6 linked regions of the Tribolium castaneum genome follow. The protein of the gene in region 6 binds, or shares a complex with, the protein of the main gene of each other region. Links are inferred from orthologs where the notes say so. Each region holds a gene or a part of one and is shown on either strand. Other genes may lie near its edges.

What was found.
Region 1: Wdr59 (region 6) and Nprl3 share a complex: the UniProt entries of both Drosophila melanogaster proteins name them as parts of the GATOR complex. The link is inferred for Tribolium castaneum from reciprocal best matches to the Drosophila melanogaster genes Wdr59 and Nprl3.
Region 2: Wdr59 (region 6) and Nup44A share a complex: the UniProt entries of both Drosophila melanogaster proteins name them as parts of the GATOR complex. The link is inferred for Tribolium castaneum from reciprocal best matches to the Drosophila melanogaster genes Wdr59 and Nup44A.
Region 3: Wdr59 (region 6) and Nprl2 share a complex: the UniProt entries of both Drosophila melanogaster proteins name them as parts of the GATOR complex. The link is inferred for Tribolium castaneum from reciprocal best matches to the Drosophila melanogaster genes Wdr59 and Nprl2.
Region 4: Wdr59 (region 6) and mio share a complex: the UniProt entries of both Drosophila melanogaster proteins name them as parts of the GATOR complex. The link is inferred for Tribolium castaneum from reciprocal best matches to the Drosophila melanogaster genes Wdr59 and mio.
Region 5: Wdr59 (region 6) and Sec13 share a complex: the UniProt entries of both Drosophila melanogaster proteins name them as parts of the GATOR complex. The link is inferred for Tribolium castaneum from reciprocal best matches to the Drosophila melanogaster genes Wdr59 and Sec13.

The regions. Positions count from the first base shown.
Region 1 is NC_087395.1:17,468,561-17,471,705, forward strand, and holds the end of Nprl3 (GATOR complex protein NPRL3), read right to left. Parts: intron 1,818-3,145; coding exon 1,643-1,817; intron 1,593-1,642; coding exon 1,210-1,592; intron 1,156-1,209; coding exon 1,021-1,155; intron 969-1,020; coding exon 866-968; intron 820-865; coding exon 610-819; 3' UTR 501-609; downstream 1-500. UniProt on the Drosophila melanogaster protein: An essential component of the GATOR subcomplex GATOR1 which functions as an inhibitor of the amino acid-sensing branch of the TORC1 signaling pathway.
Region 2 is NC_087396.1:12,237,278-12,240,529, forward strand, and holds Nup44A (nucleoporin SEH1), read left to right. Parts: upstream 1-1,197; 5' UTR 1,198-1,342; coding exon 1,343-1,453; intron 1,454-1,497; coding exon 1,498-1,654; intron 1,655-1,701; coding exon 1,702-1,963; intron 1,964-2,009; coding exon 2,010-2,243; intron 2,244-2,293; coding exon 2,294-2,451; intron 2,452-2,502; coding exon 2,503-2,687; 3' UTR 2,688-2,752; downstream 2,753-3,252. Other genes in the region: mRpL13 (large ribosomal subunit protein uL13m), read right to left, coding at 307-540, 590-744, 793-916, 966-989. UniProt on the Drosophila melanogaster protein: Probable component of the nuclear pore complex (NPC). Involved in maintaining the localization of another nucleoporin Mgtor to the nuclear envelope of early meiotic female germline cells.
Region 3 is NC_087399.1:8,014,952-8,019,120, forward strand, and holds Nprl2 (GATOR1 complex protein NPRL2), read left to right. Parts: upstream 1-1,369; 5' UTR 1,370-1,510; intron 1,511-1,568; 5' UTR 1,569-1,594; coding exon 1,595-1,732; intron 1,733-1,780; coding exon 1,781-1,872; intron 1,873-1,926; coding exon 1,927-2,527; intron 2,528-3,597; coding exon 3,598-3,951; 3' UTR 3,952-3,978; downstream 3,979-4,169. UniProt on the Drosophila melanogaster protein: An essential component of the GATOR subcomplex GATOR1 which functions as an inhibitor of the amino acid-sensing branch of the TORC1 signaling pathway.
Region 4 is NC_087395.1:14,780,426-14,784,439, forward strand, and holds the start of mio (GATOR2 complex protein MIOS-B), read right to left. Parts: upstream 2,801-4,014; 5' UTR 2,697-2,800; intron 2,647-2,696; 5' UTR 2,637-2,646; coding exon 2,525-2,636; intron 2,480-2,524; coding exon 1,967-2,479; intron 271-1,966; coding exon 78-270; intron 28-77; coding exon 1-27. UniProt on the Drosophila melanogaster protein: An essential component of the GATOR subcomplex GATOR2 which functions as an activator of the amino acid-sensing branch of the mTORC1 signaling pathway.
Region 5 is NC_087396.1:21,704,731-21,707,696, forward strand, and holds Sec13 (protein SEC13 homolog), read left to right. Parts: upstream 1-1,441; 5' UTR 1,442-1,504; coding exon 1,505-2,431; 3' UTR 2,432-2,466; downstream 2,467-2,966. Other genes in the region: PolE1 (DNA polymerase epsilon catalytic subunit 1), read right to left, coding at 1-74, 431-657, 704-922, 969-1,092, 1,138-1,211; RpL29 (large ribosomal subunit protein eL29), read right to left, coding at 2,503-2,610, 2,666-2,730, 2,783-2,819. UniProt on the Drosophila melanogaster protein: Functions as a component of the nuclear pore complex (NPC) and the COPII coat. At the endoplasmic reticulum, SEC13 is involved in the biogenesis of COPII-coated vesicles.
Region 6 is NC_087398.1:3,160,692-3,164,659, forward strand, and holds the start of Wdr59 (GATOR2 complex protein WDR59), read right to left. Parts: upstream 2,801-3,968; 5' UTR 2,665-2,800; intron 2,616-2,664; 5' UTR 2,572-2,615; coding exon 2,465-2,571; intron 2,370-2,464; coding exon 2,234-2,369; intron 762-2,233; coding exon 62-761; intron 1-61. Other genes in the region: sicily (NADH dehydrogenase (ubiquinone) complex I, assembly factor 6), read left to right, coding at 2,847-2,944, 2,996-3,227, 3,300-3,532, 3,591-3,939. UniProt on the Drosophila melanogaster protein: A component of the GATOR complex, which functions as a regulator of the amino acid-sensing branch of the mTORC1 signaling pathway.

The sequences.
Region 1 (3,145 bases), on a different chromosome or scaffold from region 6:
TTGAACCAACTTGATTGGTTCATTCGCGTTGTTAACTTTTAACAACAAATTAAAATTTAATGGCGCTTTCTATAAACCGGTCCTTCAATATACAAATATTTTTTGTTAAGCAACAAAGATCTCATCAGACCGAGGTTCAGACCAACAATAACACTAATGCGGAGAATACTCAAGACACGGTTGAAGATCTTTCCAGTACTTCCTCAACAAAAAATGCGTAATTTAAAGGATTTAACCGTTGTACACAGCAAAGAAATATTTTTATGAATACCCTCAAACACCTGTGAAGAATAAATAAAATAGTTATCCATGTTTTGAGATGTAATATCAAAATTAAACCTTGTTAATTACAAATCCTTTAATTTTGGAAACTAAAAAAAAAAACTATACATAAGGCACAGAGGAAAAATGATCTCAGTAGAGGTAAAAAATGTGTTAAAGATTCACTAATCTATACTGTACTGAAAATTCTGTATTTTATTATTTAATAGACAACCACAAACTTGTAATTTCTTTATTCAACCAGTAAAAAATTAACTACAAAAATACGAAGATTGTAACAGTTGTAATAAAATAATTAGTGAAAACAATGAATAATAGTCAACACGCTCACGTGTATGAAAACATAGCTATAGCCGGATCCTCCGTTTCGTACGTAATCAAAACATCCCTAAACTTATCCAAGAGCTGCAACAACTGACTGCGCCGTAAGTTCTCCAAATACATTATCTCCTCAATGTGGTGATTCCCATGAAAATAACCTTTGCGACACAATCGGGCAAACAATCGCAAATCCTCTGGATTATTAGTTGCCGGTATCTAAACAAACTTTTTTTGTAATAGTTACAACAGTAACTACACCTACTTTAAAAATATTCCCGCGTTCCTCATCAGGAAAATCCAACAGCAACTCCTCCTGATAATCCTGTTTTTCGTCCTCAACCGACGTAAAACTCACATTTTCGAGACTAAAATAACGCAAACTTTAAAAAAACACCCAAATTTCAAACACAACACGACTTTATACTGCGGTTGATCAAATCTGATTCGCTGCGAAGCTCGGGCGTTTCCGACACCGTCGACGTGCCGCTTTCGGACTCGGCTCGCGAGTGCTCGGACGTACTCGGGTGATACGAGCTCGAGGACAATACATTTCTAAGCACAAATAAATGACGCAACCAATAATGACGCCAACTTGATTTACAATACCCTATGTTTCTTTGTGAAACGATCCGTTCGTCCTTTTCCCTGGGCACTGCCAACCCGTGATCTGTTGGCATATACTGCACATAAGTGTGCAGTTGCAACAGTAGATGGTGTTGCAACATCCAGATAATAGTCTGTACTAAATGAGACTGTTGGGCCGGATGGCACAACGGGTTGCACTTCTGGCCCAAAGAGGTCGGTAGCGCGAAATCGCTAATCACACGAATTAAATTCGCTGTGGGGAAAGCCTCTGAGAATTTGTCAATCAGAGGTGAATTCAGATGAATGGGGGCGTCTGGAGCTATCACATATTTGTTAGTCAAGCAAATGGGGAATATAACTGTAGCTTTAGCCCAGTAAACTAAATGAGCTGTGAGCTCAAAAACCTGAAATTATTTATTTATTTATTTAATTGGCGATGTGGGACGCCGTTTACATGGTGGAGGGTCAAGTCGGCGTCGGCTGCTAAAGTTTGCAAGTTTTTTATTGGAGAATATTGCTTTAGCATTCGTTCTAAGGATGGGGAGCCATCCAGTCCAGTGAAATCGGCCATTTGCTGGATGGGGTGCAGTAATAATAAACTGTGGTAAGGGCGTAAAGCCTTCAAACACCTACATAGTAGAGAATAAGGCACTGGACACGCGGCTCGCTTTGAATTTATTTATTTATGTTGGCAACATTGAATAGTTTATTTGTGTCCTTAAGGTTTCCAGGTCTAGTGACTTATTTTAGAAAGAATACTATTAAACTGTAATAAAATTCATAACCTGAATATAGGCAATTTTTGTAAAAAAAAACAGAAACAGATCGCTTTTTGTTTTTCCTTTCCCCTCATTTAGTGAACATGGTTCGAAAGCAGTAAAACGCACTATTTGTTTTCTAAATATTGTCAATGCCCAAGTTATAAAAAATTAAAGCAGTATGGAATTATTAACTAAAATAAAATTTGTAACTTGGATATAAGCGATTTTTTTGTTTTTTGTTTTTTTTTGCACATCAGTTTTTGTTTTTGTTTATCTGTTTTCAAAAATGCCCAGCCACTTTTAACGTTACACAAATGTAACGAATATATCCAAAGCCTACGCCTAAAGCTAGAGGTGGCTGTGCATTTCTGACAACAAATAAACAAAAACCATATACATGAAACAGTAGGCAAGGAAAAATAAAAATTGACCTGTTACGGGAATTTTCACTAAAATCGGCTAAATCAAAGAATTTTATTCCAGTTAAAAATTCCATTCTGTATAAGCTTTTACCGAAGGTAACAACAATTTTGAAGTAAATGCTTAATGAAAAAAGCATTTGCTTTATTTTATTCACTTTGTTTTGAGAATATTCTCGACTTTAAAGCAAATAATTGCTAAAAAATGCTTTACTTTCAGTAAAAGCTTATATGTACTTCCATTTTTACTTATACATTTTAGAGCATTTACTTGCAAAATTTTAAGTAAAAGCACTATTTTGAATATATTTCTTTATTTTTTTTAACATATTTGAAGTAAAAGCGTAGCTCGTTTAAAAAGAATCAATTATTATAACAAATTATTACAGATTTTCTGGCATATACATCATTTATATTAAATTTGTGGAAAAATTAACCCGGCACATCCACCATAATAATAATAAAAATCCATTTTTATTTTTTTTAAGATATGCTTGTTGTACATTTTCCATTATTATTTGGTTTCTATGTGAAAATAACGTTCCAATTTAGAACATAGATTTTACAAAAAAAAATTTAATTCTACCAAATGTTCTAAGTGTCAATCAGACACAATACCCATCAATAAACTATTGATCATTGGGTGTAAAATGGGAACCCTTAATAAATTATTAAACCATGTCATTATATTCACATTGAAAGTTTAGAACATTTGTTTAGAACATTTTGTTCTAAATGTATACAAGTATCACGGAATAAATCAATTGTTCAAAAACT
Region 2 (3,252 bases), on a different chromosome or scaffold from region 6:
AATTACGGAGAAAACCAATCACTTTTGAATTTTTGATTCATTGAAAAATTATAGTTTTGGATATGATTGGTCCATTTAAGGTCGGCCATTAAAATAATGTGGGAAACCAATCACTTTCAATTTTCGGACTCATTCCATAATTTATTAATGGGAATTGTTCAATGGTTTATTGTTCTTAGTTTAAATTTAAAAAAGGCAGTCAATAAATATATCTACTTTGTTTTAAATGGTCTCAAAAAAAAATTAAAAAGCAAGATAAAATAATGTGACTATTTTATATTTGAAAACTATTTTCTTAACAAAAAATTATTTCAGAATGTAATCTTTCGGATAATCGATAAGTTTTGGAAATGATTTAACTTCTTCTTCAGTATAATGGTCTAGTCTCTTTGGCATTGGTCTAAGTTGTCTTATTTGATTAGAAACGTTTTTCATCAAATCTGCCGGTACATTTTCATCAGCAAAAAGATGCAGCCTCTCCATTGTGTGCCGTCTCTGCAAATTGCCGGCCATGCTTTTATAAACTGCTTTTTTGAGAATCTAAAAAAATGTTTACACTACTTGGTTCATAAGAGGAATGTTAATTAACTAATTTCGGGTCCTTGCTGTGTAATTCCCAAGCTAGGGTCCAAGACGCACCCCCAGGATAACCCGTGTGGTGAAAATAAGCCCGTTTCTTCCACTCTTCTTCAGGCATCGCGATCTCATTAGTGTTTATAACAATTACATGGTCACCACAATCATCTGAAACTGATATTGAGCAAAGAAACAACACCCGTTTGCCTTAATTACTCATTGGGTGGTAAATTGGTTTATATAAGCCCATTAAATACTTTTTTATCAGTTGCGCGGACTGAAATGGGTCCTGCCAAGCGGCATCGTACACATGCCATATCCTTGCAAAGGTGGCCCATTGCTACAATCCATAGACAATTTTATGCAATTTTACGACCAACTGTATTTACCTGAACCCTTTTTACCACAGACATGCTTGTTATTATTGTTACTTTTTTGTGACACTTTTTAGTGAGGTTGAGTTTTCATAACCTTACATTTGTTATGTAAGATCCAGCGTGCGGTCTAATAATCACGAAGCCGAAACAAAAAATTGTATTTTTAGTTGTTAAAACTTGATTGTTTTTGATAATTTTGCAAGTTCTAGACCTGTAAAAACTAGCTAAATAATTTCTGAGTAAAAAAGCTTGTGAAAATGATTATTTTTCACAATTTCGATAACTTGGAGATTCTACCGCAAAAACTCAGCGTTCTGCGCAAGTACTGACGCTTTGAACTTTAGGGGTTATGTTTAGATCAGTTTTGTTGATTATTCGTGAAATAAAAAATGTTTGAGGCCCAGGAAATTAATGCCGAACACAAGGACCTAATCCACGATGTTGCGTACGATTTTTACGGCCAAAGAATGGCCACTTGTTCCAGCGATCAATACGTTAAGGTTAGTTAGCAGTTGCGTTTTCAACTTATAAGGAAAAAAAGTAGGTTTGGGACCAAAACAGCGACGGCAAATGGACTTTAACATCAAGCTGGAAGGCCCACAGCGGCTCCGTTTGGAAAGTGACTTGGGCCCACCCCGAATTTGGCCAGGTTCTGGCCACTTGTTCCTTTGACCGAACTGCCGCAGTTTGGGAGGAAATTGGTACTTTCAGTAGTTTTTATCGAGTGTGTATTTAATGTGGGTTTAAGTTGGTGAGACTCCCGGGCCTGGGGAAAGAGGGACGAGGCATTGGGTCCGTCGGACAAATCTGGTCGATTCGAGGACTTCCGTTACTGATGTGAAATTCGGGCCACGGACGCAGGGTTTGCAGCTGGCGACCTGTTCAGCCGAGGGCATTATTCGGATTTATGAGGCGCCCGATGTTTTGAATTTGAGTCAATGGACTTTGCAGTTTGAAATCCAGTGCAAATTGCCGTGCAGTTGCCTAAGTTGGAATCCTAGTTTATCAAAGTATTTTTTGCAGAATTGTTAGACGGTTTGTAAATGGTGTTTTTAGGATGCATCCTCTGATGTTGGCGGTTGGAAGTGACGATCCAAATCCAGCCAATGGAGTCAAAGTTTTTATTTATGTTTACAGTGAGAGTTGCCGGAAGTGGACGAAAATGGATGCCATAACAAACATTACAGACCCCGTCTACGATCTCTCGTTTTCTCCTAATTTAGGCCGCAGTTTTCATGTTTTAGCCATTGCCACCAAAGATGTAAAAATCGTTAATTTACCTCACGTTTAGTAAGTTTTACATTTTTCGATTATTGTTTTTTCTAATCATTTTTTTGTAGCGACAACCCGAATTCGCAGAATGTTATTACAAAATTAGATGCACAAATTGTTGCCCAATTTGACGATCATGAATCCACCGTCTGGAGAGTCTGTTGGAATGTTACAGGAACTATTTTGGCTTCAAGTGGAGACGATGGTTGTGTCAGAATGTTTAAAAGTATGAACTAAATTGTAAGCTTATTTATCGTAAGAATAATTTTTTTTGCAGTGAATTACATTAACTCGTGGAAGCCAATAGCAGTATTAAGAGGTGATGGGTCACAAGTTTCTAATGAAGGTCAAAGATCATCAGTTTCTTCAACAGTAGGGCCGCAAATCCAAAGTGCGTCACAGACTGCTAGATATATTAAACTCGGTGCCATTTCTCAACCAAGAGACGTCCCTTGGCATTAATTTTTAAATCCGTAAAATGAGAACAAGATGTATTTCACAAAATACTGAATAAACTTTTATTTTAATATTTGTTTTTTATGTTTACCTGTTTCACAACTAATAATAAAAAGTAAAATACACAAAGTGATCAAGAATCAAATACTTCCAATAAGATTTTAAATTAATTAAATTGAATTTAAACTTCAAAAATCTCCTACGAACATTTTTTGAACAAACAAAACCTTGGTAAGATGATCGATTCATTGTAGTAAAAATACTTAAAAAATCAAAACCAAATAATAATTTTGCGGTTTTGTCCTAAAGTTATTGATCATTCTTTTAAATTTTGTATTTTTGGCTCTCGAGGAGGGATAATAAAAAAAACACCAATAAATAACATGAGCCCTGTTTTTAAAACTACAGTATTTACCTATCCCGTGATCCCCTTTGCGCTTTTGAATATGCTGGGGACACTTTCCCCCGACTTTTCGCCTTTTTCGTTGGATTTTGTAGAAATAACATCAATTAGAAATGTCAAATTGTAAAAGTGCGCGCGCATGCGCTTTGATTTTCAACATGTCATTTC
Region 3 (4,169 bases), on a different chromosome or scaffold from region 6:
TGTGAGAGTAGTGAGCTAAATGGGGGGAACTGTGGACTTACCTTAACTGCGACGATAAATATCACACACACTTGCACGTTTTTTTAATAAATCGGGTCATTTTATTTTGTAATTTGGTAAACAAAAACAATAAATGGTCATTGAACGAAACGCGGGAAATGTCTGAGTGACGGTGCTACCAACCTGTAGGTGTAACAATTTGAGCAACTTCTGAAATTAAAAATTTGTCGGGAAAAAAGGATTGTTTTTTGAAATAGCCTTGCAGGACGTTGTAAAGTGTTTGATTATTTTACAAGTGGAAAAACTATTGTGTTTAAAAAATATTTGGGAATTAGATTAACTAGACACCCCCTGGTGATGACATTTCATACTATTCGAAAACAATAACGAAATTTTCTTAATTCCTTATTTAAATTCCGACTTTAGTATGCGCTTTAGCTTTGTTCATGCGGTTATTCGTGATTAAAATTGTAATTTGTTGGAATTTGAAAATGGACAAAACGTGAAAAAGATTTAATTTTTGGTTACAAAGTGTTACTAAAGCAATTACACTGAAAAAATTGTATTGTATAATACTTCTGAAAATCTACAAAACCGTAATTGAGATTAAGTACTGCAATGAAATATTAATTTAAAAAATGGTCGTATAATGTTTAACATAGCAAACAAAGAAAAAATATACAGATAAAGCATTAAATTCTTAACAGTAAGACATAAACAACATGCAAATGTTTTGTCGTAAAATATATTTTTTTGTTGGTAATATTTTATGCCGCATACGCTCGTTACATAACAACAGTCCTCGGATTTTAAGCTTGTGTTTTTGCACTCGTATTATTTACAAAAAATATTTTTTTACAAATTTCTTCCTAACATTTTGCTTGTCTCATTAACCGTATTTGCAGCGTCTTGAAAAATATGTAGCGAAGCGCAAATTTTTTTATGTTAAGTATTTTTTTGTCATTATTCTTATAAGAATTTGAGTTGGCAGTTTTTTTCAGTCTGTTAAAAGTGCGAAGCTCAACATTTCTGCATTTTTTTCCAAGGAAATGATGAATTGGATTTAAATTAATTTTAAACAATTTGGCGCCGAGAGGTATAACGCTCAAAGCGCCCTCATTTTTTTTCTACCGTACTATTTCTTTGGGTTCAAAAAATCCAGCGATTTTGTATTTCGTTTCGTTTCCTAAGTTATAGCCCTCCTTAATTTAACCATAAATTGTTGCAAAAGGTAGGTTTTTCAATGTTTTTGTAATAAGTTTTCGAAAAAGTAAGTGAACAAACAGTTTATTTCTGTTTTTTTTTTGCGTTATCTTTTATTTGTGAACATGTATTCTTTGTACCAATGATACAATAGTCAGTCCACATAGACAATGCAATTAGCCACAAAATTTGTACAATGCTCTATAAATATCCGAATTAACTTTTACCGCCATTTAAATTCAGTAGTGGCGCCGTACAGAAACCTGTAATTGGATTCTTGTTCAATGTGGATGTTTATTTATTCCAGGTTTTAAAATAAATTTTTACCAAAAAAAGCTTTACCGGGCTAATTCCGCAATTTTCAGATCTATGGAATTATATTTCACGTCAAATGTTACGAAACGTACAAAACATGGAAAATACAGGTTATGTCCTGAACAACTTTGATCACACAAGTCAGGAGGGCCCCATTCGGTGCATTTTTTTCTGTGAATTTCATCCAACAGCCGGGCCTATCATTTCGTGTCAAGTAAACATTAAAAAAAAAATGTTACGTGATTTTGCAAGTGTGTTCCAGGAACCAGAGCAGTACATTTCAAAGGAACTATTCGACAGTATTAGCGTTTACATAATCACGAAAGCGGAGTTACAGAAGAGTACAATCACTGTGTAAAAAACCGAAGCGAAATCGATGAATTAATTGCTTGTTGATTTTAATTTTAGTACTCTATCGGATTATAAAATATTGGGGTTCCCGGTCCGCATTGACGACAAAAAATATCCCCGGAACGCCTACCACTTCAATCTATGCCTAGTGTGTGACAGTAACGTCCGAACCGTTCATTACGAACCCGTCGTTATAAAACTATCAGACTACCTAATGGCAATGGAAATTGAAAGCAGTTTTTTATCGGACGGTAAAGCAGCAACGAAACTCGCCCCAATTTTGAAGCAAGTTATCGAGGAATTGAACACGAAGGGGGAGTGCGCCCTCACGGAGGGCCCCACCGCCACCCATCTCAAGGTCGTGCACGTTCGCAGCGACCCGGCCCCCGTGGCCGACCACCAGGTCCCTGTCTTCATCAAGCCCCTCCCGGACCAGCAGTGGGACTTGACCACGCAACAAGTGGCCCCCTACATTGACGGCTTCAATCACGTGGCCCGAATCGCGGCCCTCTCCGATGTCGAAAATAATTTGGTCAAGGCTTGTGTCCAAAACCTCGTCTATTACGGAGTCGTTGCTTTAGTGCCTTTGTTCCAATACGGGAATGTTTATTGCACGACGCCGCAGTTAAATATTCTGGCTCACGATGTCAATTTACAAGTAATAACAATAACAACTCATTAAGGTTGAAGGGGAACACGTTTCACTGTGTTTCTAGGCCGTCAGATGGCGCGGAATTAATTTTTTATTATCGAAATCGAAAAAAGTTTTGATCACAGAATCGTAATTAAATTTGCGCTAACGTATTAGTTTTTTATTTTTTGACGTATTTAAAAAAAAATTCATGAATTTTTAAAATAAAAAATATTTTGTAAAACCAAGGTAGGACGACGAATATTTGCTGAAAATTTAACTCCAATATCTAGAAGTCATTTAGTAAAGATTAGTTTTGTCTGCCTATTATTCATTTTCCTTCAGATGATATGCAAAACTTCTAGAAGTATAGGTTTTTTCTGTATCTCTATGCACTCGATTTTTGTTTCTACACTTTCTTATATTAATTATTATCAATGAATTGAAAATATTAATAGTTGTATTAATAAAATTAAAAATATGGAAACATTAACTAACCAAACTGTCGTTCTAAAAAAAATTAAAAGAAGTTCAGGTACGTACGAGTAAAAAATTACTTACTAGCAAACGCTGAATTCTGGATATTATACGAGTAGTTTTTATTTGTTTCGTCGATTAATTTAGTCCCTTTCAGTTTTTTTGTTAAGCTTTTTCTAGGAATGGGAAGCAGGTGTACAGTCACTATCAAAAAGAGTAACACCCCTAAAATCGCTGTCATAATTATTTCGATATGATATGACATTACTTGCAGTCCGCTCAGCTTTTTCAATCTCCCATTATTAGAAATCTTCATTACAATTTTTTTTACCAAAAATAGTCAAATTAAATTTTAACCTATTTTATAATTATTATATATTTCATTAAAATTTTAAACAAAAAATGCCATTTTTTTTTCAAAAAAGTGTTACGTTGGCACAAATTCTAATTCTTTAATAAACTGAATTCAACTTTTTGATTTAAAATTGGATTACAAAAATCGCCAAAAACAGCAAAATCATTTTCATTATACTTGTCTTTATCGCACACTTGATTTAACTCTGTGTCCCCTTTAGCCTTAATTATTTATAACTAGCAGCGAAAGAATAACTCGTTTTTAGAACAAATGTTTGAAGTATGTGGCGGTGTCCCAAAGACAGTTACCCAATTTTCGCGACGTTTTTCGCATGTTTGCCGCCATGACAAGGGGCACGACCATGCGGGACTTGTGCCTGAGATTTAATCCAGCTAATTTGCGAATAAACGAAAGGAAATTGGTACAGATTGGAGTGTTGGAAGGTCTGATTCGACGGGTTCATAAGTATCCGATTTTGTTGAGTGATACTTCTGAATTACAAAAATCGCTCTCGGGGGCGGCTAATTTGGATGAGATTTGCTGCGCCACTGGCGTTGCCACGCAACAACTCGAGGACCAGCTGGAGAGAGACCACAATATCGTCCTGTTGTGGAAATGACTGTGATAATAAAGATTTGCTTAAAAATGATTTGTTTCCGTAGCTACTGTTGCTTTATTTCCATGGTTACGATTGAGTATCCATGACAATCAAATCGTTTAAACGTTGACGTTTTTATCATTTAATAAAAAAAAACTATAAACCTATAAATAATGCTGCCATCAAGCATTCAAATTTTCATACAATTTCATTGTACCAAATTTTTTATTGCAAGTTAA
Region 4 (4,014 bases), on a different chromosome or scaffold from region 6:
TTTTGCAAAGACCCCAAAAGATTGTACCTAAGGAAATAAACAAAAATTTCGAATTTTATGCACGATTGGGAATGTACTTTGTGGGGCACCAGGCAATTTTGATCACAGGCTTGTTCTGGTGCAGCGTCAGGATGGGTTTTTCGAAATTTCTCGTATCCCAAACGTAAATATTATTCTCGAAAAATGACGCCAAATGCCGGTCGTCGTTCGGGTCCATGCAAACGCCAAAAACGGCCTTGGTTAGCGTAGAATTTGTGATTTTGTTAGGATCTACAAGTAACTATTGAATAATCTTCGACCACAGCGTGAGTCAAAATAAAAGTGTTCTTATTTAGACTCACGTAGTTTTTTTCTTTTAGTTTTCTTCCTTTTTTTCACAATTTCTTAAATGATTTTCCCATTTATTTTACTACGTTGTGGTAATGGTTTACAATTGGTGTAATAAGCAACGAAGTACGTGGTTTAATAATCAATTTGATGAATAAATGATTCAATGGCAAATAATTTGGGACAACAATTCAATGTTTTGCCAAACACGAAAATTTATTCAACATACAGAAGAACTCAAAACACTGCCAAAAGAAGTGCTGAGCATCGACAAAAAAAACTATGCGATGTTCAAAAAGACCCAGGTTTCATTGTCTAAAGTCAACAGTTTTGTAGAATTTTCATTATTCAGTTAAAATAATTTTATTCGTCCCCGCGAGAAGAAATATACCTTATACCTTTGAAGTTCGTTTTATTATGCAGTCGAATGTAACAGAAGTATATGTGAAAGAAAGAAAAAAATTGAACATAGGAGTAATATTGTTGTGTGATGTTCAGTAAAATAAAAACCTCAGTGTCCGGAAAATTGTCGTTTTAAATCTCATGTTAATATGGTCCTAAAAAATCATATTCTGCTCTTAAGTTATTATACGCGAACTATTTAATTTTGAATTTCAAATTACGTAAAAAGTTAACAGAAACCTTAGTTATGTCATTTATGAAATATTGCTTAATCTTATACTATCCCTGCTTAGATAATATCACAAAGTACAAATTACAGAAAATCCAAAATAGTTGTTGTAGGTTCATTTTTGGTTTGAACAAATACGATCATGTTTTGTCTAAAATACTCGACCTACGTTGGTTGAAAGTTGAAAATATGTATCGACACCAATTGGGTACACTTATGTTTAAACTTATGACAACTTCGTCTCCATTCTACCTTAGAAAAAATTTAGATTTAGAAATAGCATTCACAATGTCAACATTCATCATAATACACAAATCTCTATGCCTCAGTTTAGTTCATCCATCTTTCAACGCTCGCTAACTTATAATGGTGTTAAAGTTTTTAACTCCACTGTACTCTTTCAGTTGAATGTTTCGGTGAATAAATTTCGTACACTCTACAAAGATTTCTTGCTCTCCATGGTTAATTATGGTGTTCATCATCGCATGCTACGTTTCCATTTCCATATTTACTCTATTGCTTCTTTTTTAGTTTTAAGTTTTCTATTTGTACCTTTCTGAAGTTATTTATATTACTTGTTTTATTTTTCTTATTGTTTGATATTTTTTTATATATCTTTATAATTCTTTTTTTGGGGAGTTGAGGTGAATAGTCTTTGACTAGACTTCGCCCCCATTTTTCTTTAATAAAGGTCTGTTATTATTATTATTATTATTATTATTATTATTATGTTGAACATAAATATGGACACATACTTGCAAGATTGTAAGAAATATCCACATAATATAATGTATGTTACGCTTTATTGTTCCAAATATATTTATTTTTAATTAGATTAACGAAAAAATATGGCCTTTGTTTACATAAAAAGAATTCATCCAAATCGACTAAATTAACTGGAAAAGAAAGGGAATATCAATTAACACATGATTTTGATATTTCACAAATGGAAAGACATTTAAGAAATTGTGAGACACAATAATTGAGAAAGAAAAAGACTAAGAATACCTCTGATGTCGACAAACTTGATATTTTTCAAGTTCATCCCGACAGCAATCACCTTGCTGTTGCTGCTGAACCAGGCCATGCTGTGGGCGGTTTCGGAAACCCCAAATTCGGCTATGGGTTTTGCGAGCTCCACCCCTGGGGCCATGGTGTTAACCGCCATCCTTCCCGAATTGCTTTCGTTGTTTTGGGACGACTTCATAATGTCCCAAATGAGAACGGAATTGTCCGCTCTGTACTTGTCTAACCCGGCAGCCACCCAACTAGTCTCAATTGTGTTCCAGCACACGGCATTACACTGCCTTGCATGTCTCGGCACCAGTTCTTTCCCAGTCAACCCCAAGGCGTCATACTCCGTGGGGCCGAATGTCGACAGTGATATTCGTCCATTTGATAAACCCACAGCTAGCAACAAATCGGCATCGGATTTTGGGTAAACATCCAGGCATTTAACGTAGTGGTGGTTGGTGTTTGTCGCCAGTAAATTGGCGGAAGTCGTGCTTGATAGCTTAATATCTGCAAGTTTTTCGTAAGATTGGGATCATGGCCATGAGTTAATACTTTGCAAAACGTTATCGCGGTCTTGGTGCACCTCGTACAAGCAAATTTCGGAACCCCACGTGATAAATTTGTTGGTGATGGGGGTCCACTGGATTTCCAGTTTCGAGGACATTTTATGGAAGCTAAAACGGTAATTAAATACTTAGAATAAGTAAAAAGGCAACGGGTTAACAATTGGCGAATTTGCGATGTATTTTGGCTTTGAGGTTACGGTCATGTTTTTGTTTTCTTTTGGTTCTTCGCGTTGGTGCCACTGCCATTCCACGGCGCGAGCGAAAACTTTGAATCAAATCTACCTTTAAAATCCTTTTTTTTTAAAGAGTAATTTTGAGAAACAGGGCAAATTCCTTAATTTTTTACTTTAAAAAGGGTTACATTTGATAAAAACACGATGTGTGTTAAAGGTGCCCTCCTAGTTGTCTGTTCTACTTCTGATTTCTTTCTTTAATTAATAAAATTGGGGTTGGGGAGAAATAAACTGTGATTTTTATAAAAAATTAATAAAACGATTGTATTTTGAGTCGTTTAAATTGTTATCGGCAACGTACACCAACAAGTGCACTCATAAAATGAATATTACTTGAATTTTTAATAATACCGAACATTTGTACTTTTATATTTTTGTTGTCTTCATACTTACATGCTGAACATTTTCAGTTTGTCGACTTCAACAGTAGAAGAAACCAACAACTAAGCCAATTTCCATGTTCTTACAATAAATCACTATTTATGTAAGAGATAATTGGACAAACAAATGGGCGATAAGAAACAATAAGATTTCCATTAATCACCAAAAAATTGAAATTGGGAGAATCATTTTTTATTTCTGGGCATAAACAACGAAACAATCACACGTTCTAAAGCTTTATTAATTTTTGTTATACATTCATCACTTCGTAATCAACAGCTAACATCTCTTGATTTCAGATCTATTATTTAACAACTTAAAATCAGATCACAAAAACTGTATTTTCAAACAAACAACATCTTAAAATATAATATACAACTTTAAGTAAATAACATTACAATCTCTATTAATCAAATATTAAAAATGACTCATTGGCTTGGCTTTTATTTATCAAAACGGAGTTTTGGTGGTCATAATCGGTGAAGGCACCAAATTAATCGAAATTTTTTTAACGTGCGTGAATGCATTTATTTCTAATGAGTGAATTAAGTTGAAAAAGTAAATTATTTCCTTGATGCTAGAAGTACCCTAAATTTACTTTTCGTTTAATCGTTTGCTAATCGGCGACTAATCGACGATTGTCAAACTTGTTGGCTAAATAAACTACAAACTGAGTGTTTTATGGATACGTCTTGTGTATGTGCGTTTGTGTTGATTAATTGTTGCAGTTTATTAAAAATCGTTAACTCTAAGTACAGTTTTAACTAAGTACTATTTTTAATTGGGTAAAAAACACCGCTTCCAAAATGAGTTGTATAAATAAAATTTGTACACATGAGTATTTACCGTTCCTTGAAATATC
Region 5 (2,966 bases), on a different chromosome or scaffold from region 6:
TGACCGTGTACCATAAACCGCAGAAGATTTTCAAGTCGATTGAGACACGCACGTGGTAGGGGACGTCATACTCGCTACAAAAAATTTGTTACTTGTTTTGGGAGCCCAAATAAAAACTTTTAATTTTTTTTAATTATCACCATTTCTTTAAGCTTTAAAAAGTGCATATTTTTTTATTTCAACTGAAACAGCAGTAAAATATAGCTGCTCTATGTATAAAACTGTATCTTCTATTTAAAATTATTTATAAGAATATTAACTCTCAATAGTTTTAAAGCATTCTAAAGAACATCTATTAGAAATTTGCGATCTGTGGGAGTATTTGGCTGTAGACAAGCAACTTATCTACACTTATCCACCTTCATGAAACTTTTACAAAACCGTAATACTAGATCTAATCAGCATTTAAATTGTTACTTGGGTCCTTTACCGAATATCGAGAATATTTTCCATCTGATCGGTGTTAGTCTTGGTGGTTTGGGCCGCCTTGTCTGCTAAAATGTCCGTCAACATTTCGGTGTAATAGGTGTTTGAGCTTTCCCTCTCTTTGTTCTTTTTCACAACTTTGAGTATCTCCTTCCTGACTTTAATTAAATCAGTTTGGTTGAAAAACGACAATTTTATGTACTTCTGTTGCAAACCAATCAAATGATTTGGCTGAAAAATCGCTCATAAGTTTAGCAACAACAATTGCTCGCTCTACCAAATCCAAATCCTCCTTTGTGACAACTTCAATTTTGCCAATTGTCCCCGAGAATTTTTTCGTAAGGAACTGGCTCACTTCTTGAATGAGCTCAATTTTCGTAAGAATGTAAAAATAAGGCATGTAACAGTACGACACTTTAAAGCGGGCGCCGTCCTCTTCCATGAAATAGAAGTCAACAGCCGCCACCAACCTCTTATCCTCATCTAAAATCTCACTCTACTCAGACATTATCAAGCCAGCCCCTGGTCCATAACCACGTTACCGCGTGCATGTTTAACAAAAATCCGGTCCTTTCTAAGTTATCCCGCACCCGCTCGAAGCCGTATTTTGCGTCAATCGCGTCATTTTCAATCACTTGGCGGAGTCTCACCTCCGAGGTTTCCTCTCTAAGGCAAAATACTTAAAAACGGGTGAATGTCCCTGGCACGTACCGTGAGAAGTCCGTGGGCTTTTTTGCCAACTTGGGGTCCCGCTGGGGCCGGAACTTTTCGTTAATTTCATCCATTATTGCAGACTAACCTGTTGACAAAACAACATGACTTTCGCGCTCATTTTGACACTAGGGGAATTTCGGGTCAGGTTTTTTCAAACATCAACATAACCTTTTTCTTTGGGCTATTTATCACGTAGTTTTGGCCGAGTCGCCACTCTTTAACCCAGAATTTGTATCTGATTGATAATTTGGGCCCCAAATCGGCCAAAACTGAACGAATTAGAGGCGACGTGAGTCGGTTGGTAACCGTGTGTCAAATGTCAAGCCACGTCTGTTCCAATTTCTGGTAGTTTTAAACTGGGAAAATGGTCTCAATTTTGAATTCTATCGACACGGGGCACGAGGACATGGTGCACGACGCCGAAGTGGACTACTACGGGCTGCGCCTGGCCACGTGCTCGTCGGACAACAGCGTCAAAGTGTACGACATCAAGAACGGGGGCACAGCCCTGATCGACGACCTCAAGGGCCACTTCGGGCCCGTGTGGCAGATCGCCTGGAGCCACCCCAAGTTCGGGAACCTCCTCGCCTCCTGCTCGTACGACCGCAAGGTCATAATCTGGAAGGAGCAGAACGGGAAGTTCACCAAGTACTACGAGTACGCCAACCACGATTCCAGCGTGAACTCGGTGCAGTTCGCCCCGCCTGAGTACGGGCTCGTGCTGGCCTGCGGCAGCAGCGACGGCTCGATCTCCATCCTGAGCTACATCTCAGAGACGCACAACTGGGACGCGAAGAAGATCCAAAACGCCCACGCCATCGGCTGCAATGCCGTGAGCTGGGCCCCCGCCATCACCCCCACGTCGGGGGAGTTCCGGGACGCGGCCAAGCTGGTCAAGCGGCTGGTGTCCGGGGGCTGCGATAATCTGGTCAAAGTGTGGCGGGAGGAGGAGGACCGGTGGGTGGAGGAGAACAAGTTGGAGGTGCACTCGGACTGGGTGCGGGACGTGGCGTGGGCCCCCTCGGTGGGGCTGCACCAGCACACCATCGCGAGCTGCTCGCAAGACAGGAGGGTCATCATCTGGACGAGTGACGATGGCAACAACTGGAACTCAACGGTCCTCCAGACTTTTGACGATGTTGTCTGGAATGTCAGTTGGTCCCTGAACGGGAATATTCTGGCCGTGTCAGGGGGTGATAACAAAATCACGCTTTGGAAGCAAAACTTGCAAGGGAATTGGCAGTGCGTCAGTGATGTGGTTAAGGGCCAGGGACAGATCAATAACCAATAGGTGTATTTTTTAAATAAAACGTAATTTAAGTGGAACTGTTTATTGAGTAAACATATTACAAAAAACTTAAATTATTTCTTGGCTTTGGCCTTGCGTTCCTGCGCACGTTGGCGTTGTTTGGCGGTGCTCAAGTTGTGCCTCTTTGAGAACCTCTGGTTCTTCAAAAACTTAGAGTCCATCTGAAAGACACTTATAAATTCACACCAAACGAGTATTTTTTGCATTTTTACTCACACCAAGGGTTGATTCGTGACGGAACTGCTTCGGTTTTTTAATACCGTTACGGTGGGCCTTACGGTCTATAAAACTCGAAAATTTTGCAAAATTACAAAAAACGGACACTAAACTTACTTTGGTTGTGATTGGTGTGGTTCTTTGACTTGGCCATGTCTTGAAAATTGGGAAATTAACTCCACGAACAAGCTTCCAAGATGGTTGGAAAAAGAAAGGTTATGGCCGACCACGTTGTCACAGATTCTGGAGAATTTTAGATTTGTTAGGTTGGTGGTCTCGTGTAATAACCTCACTTTTGGTT
Region 6 (3,968 bases):
TTTGTACAAACTGTCACTGAGTTGGTGGGTGACTTTTTGAGCCCTATAAAAATTCCCTTACCTAACAACGTCTGATCCTTCGACCACGTAATTAATTGAAAATCCAACGACCCCGCCCTCTGCTTCCTCCACTCAAACTCCAAAACCACATCCCTGTGCCCCACAAACGTATGCATGGGAGTGGACCTATTGGCCGTATTCCACAGCAACAAGCTATTTTCACCCCTTCGCAGCTGCGGCACCACCACCGTCACCAGCCCGTTCCCAAACGGCGTAAACCTCGCCCTCCACACGGGCGCATTCGTCGTCAGAACATACTCAGCCCTTCGTGGATTATTCATATCGAAAAATTTCACAGTATTGTCCTGACTGGACGTCGCCAATTGCGTCTCGACGTTGGGATTCCAGTCCAGGCCGTGGATTTTCGATAAATGCGCCGCCACGTACTGGACTGGAGCGGTTCCTTTGCGTTGATCCCAAATTTTGATATCGCCATCGTGTGCAGTGGCAAGCAGATGCGATGAGATTTTGTTCCATCGCACTTGAGAGGCTTCTGCTATTGCAGAGAGGGATAGTGAGGGACGGCGAGCGTCGCGCAAATCCCAGATGTGGATGAAAGTGTCCACGGAACAGGAGGCCAGAAGGCTGGGGTCGCTGCGGTGCCAGTTTAAGTCGGTTATGACGCGAGTGTGGGCACGGAGGGAGTGGGTCTGGATTAGCTCTTGCGAACGCCAAGTCAGGACCTCCAAGCGCTGATTGCTCTAAGAAAACGTACAACAACTTATCATATTCGTGGAGATTTGTAAAGTGCTCATTAAACTTCAATGTTTTCATGAAAAAAGTTGTTTTTTTCTTATAAAGTCACTCCAACCAGCAAAAATGGTTAATAAAATCTGTTTACAACACACTAGTGTATATTTCTCATTATTATTCGTTGTTATTATAACAGTCCGGTCAAAAAAAAACATTTTGATATATAAATAATTCGCAGAAAATTGGTACAACATAATAATAAATAAAATATCAAAAATTCACACCCATCCTACGTGCGCTAAAAATTTTATAATATCAAAATTGAAAAGTATTGTTTTTTTTTGCACTGTTCTCGTAAACGGTAAGTCTTATCATATAAATAGGTCAGACATTAAAGTTGTAAATCATGCAATTATCTACAAAAATTGTTCTTTTATTTTTTTCCTACAATTTTCAGATCTATTATGTGACGTTTTGACACTTTGAGAGAAGAAAAAAAATGTTTCTTTGCGAATTTAATTAATTAATTATTCGGTTGATGCAAAATAATAAGTTTTAATGTGCGATTAAATTTTGCTGTATAACAAAACAAGCATATAAATGCACAAAATAAAAAAAAAATGAGTTTTTCATCTCGGTTTATTAAGGTAAAAAATTTAAAAACGTGTTTTAGCTTTAATAGAATACGAAAAACCTTTGTTTGGCCAGATTTCGTCATTTTTTAGCTTATTCTTGACGAAATTTCGCCCAAAAACACGAAATCGAATGAAACAAAGTTACATCAGTTGTATTTTATTTTTGAGATTTTGAAGCGTTTTTTTGACTAATTCTTACAAAATAAATGAGTTTCGAGCTCAAAAACGCATTGAATTGACAGAAATTTGGGGATTTTTCAGCTGTAGCTAGAGTTTTAGCGAAATTTTTTGAGTGAAAAAACTCAATTTGGGTGTAATTTTGTTGATTTTCGGTTTGATTTGAATAAAATTTTGCAAATATTTCCATTTCTGGCTAAAAAAACTGTGCTAAAGACCAGATAACATCAGTTTCGATCTAATCGGTTATTTTTCATCCAATGTTAGGTAAATTTTTCGAAAAAAAACTTAAGTTTTCACCTCTACAAAGACTTGACGAAGGCTAAAATAAAACCCATTTTAATGTAAGTGGGTGATTTTTCAAAATAATTATGTTCTGGCCAAAAAAAATTTGATAATTTTGGATTTAAATAGGTGATTTTTCAGTCTCCTCTAGCGGAAATTCGGAAAAAAACTGACACTTTAGCTCTATAAAACGTGCTTAAATGCTCAAGAAAAGCAGAATAACATTACTTTTGACCAGAATTTATTTAAAAAATTTTGACTTTTGACCTATTTGGGTGATTTTACAGCGTATATTTAACAAAATCTTGCGTTTCTGGCTGGAAAATCTCCCAAAACAAAACAAAAACAAAAAGATAGCATTTTCTGGCTTTAAAAAAACCTACCGATATCACACAAAGCTCCCGGTTGTGATTAGTAGGGTTCCATTCAGCGGCTCCAACATCATATTTGCTCTGTCTTGGAAATTTTTGAACAACTTCCAGATCTTCATCTAAATTTCTTATTGCAATATACCTCCGCCTAATGGAATACAGATTAAAAATGCTACCAGGTCAAAGAATAATGTTACAATTGTTCGGGTTTATGTCATATTTAGACGTTAGAAAGAGGCATACCCTGCTAATAAAACATAAGTTCCTGAATTATCAACAGCCATAGCATTTGCTTGCAAATCTCTTCCTTCCAAAGCGATGTAATACTCATTGTTCCAGGTCGCAGCCATGGTGTGTCTCAATTTGTATGCTTATTTCAAAACTAATTTACACCCTAAAAGACACGCTCTGTTATTAGAAATGGACTTAGGCACTCTGCATACCACAAAATGGGTTAATCAGGCGATAGCGGGTCACATCTGATGTTTACATTTGATAGAAAATGCACTTTTCGAGGATTATTTATTTTTTGAGCTGTCATTTATTGGTGTCATGTGGCAATGTGAGGTTAAGTTCGCCTAACCCAACATTTTTTTTTCAATGAAAAAAATTAATTTTATAAGAAATGAATCTCCTCAAACAGATTCGTATGACTCGGAAGAACATCGGCGTGAGAAATAGCAGCTCACAGACAACCGCTAATTATTGCATGAATTTAGTAAAGTAAATCGTGTTGGGAACCACTTGCAGTTTACCAAGTTTTTTCAATTTTAGGAGTTACGATTACGAAAATTTTCTTAGTACACTTCTATTAAAAGGCAAATCGAGATCATGTGCATTCGCTGTTAGGAGTTTCAACGTTGAGGTTGCTCGTGTGGCTGAGCAAGTCTCAACCAAAGAAACGGGGTTAATGAGGATGCAGTTTTGGGAAGACGCTTTAGAGAAATGCTTTTCGGGGAATTGTGACAAAGTGCCCAGACATCCAGTCGCGATAGAACTATTCAACGTAATTAAAAAGAAATTCAGAAAAGAATTCTCTGTTCGCTTATAAGCGCCAATTTTTACGGCTGTTTTTTAGGCCATAAGCCGGAATAAATTATCTAAACGCCACCTAAAGAACCTCATTCTCTCCCGGAAAGAACATTTTAACTTAAACACCTTTCATAAATTGGAGGATATGGAAACGTACTCAGAACGATCGGTTTCAAGTGTGTATTACTTAATCCTGGAAGGGTGCGATATAAGAAATATTAATGCAGATCACGCAGCTTCTCACTTAGGAAAAGCGCAAGGAATTGTCCAAAATTTACGGTAAATGTCCCACTTATAATTTATTTATTAAATATCATCAGCGTTCTTAATTTTTTAGGTGTATACCACAGTGTAAAAATTTAAACTTTGTGCCACTGCCTCAATCAATTCTAGTCAAAAATAACGTGAGTCAAGAAGAATTGCTTCGGCACAAATCGTCGCAGCCTTTAAGTGACTGTGTTTACGAAGTAGCAACCAGGGCTCATCAGCATTTGATGAAAGCACGAAGTTTACAAGAAAAGGTTCCACCTGAAGGACGGAGCGTTTTGTTGCCAGCGGTGGCGACGTTTGCGTTCTTAAAAAGACTGGAAAATGTGAATTATGACATATTTCATCCACAGTTGAAGGCCAGACCGTGGAATTTGTTGTTCAAAATGTGGTTTAGCAATTTTAAAAATAAATATTAAAAGTGAAACGTTTTTTATTGACCCTTTTA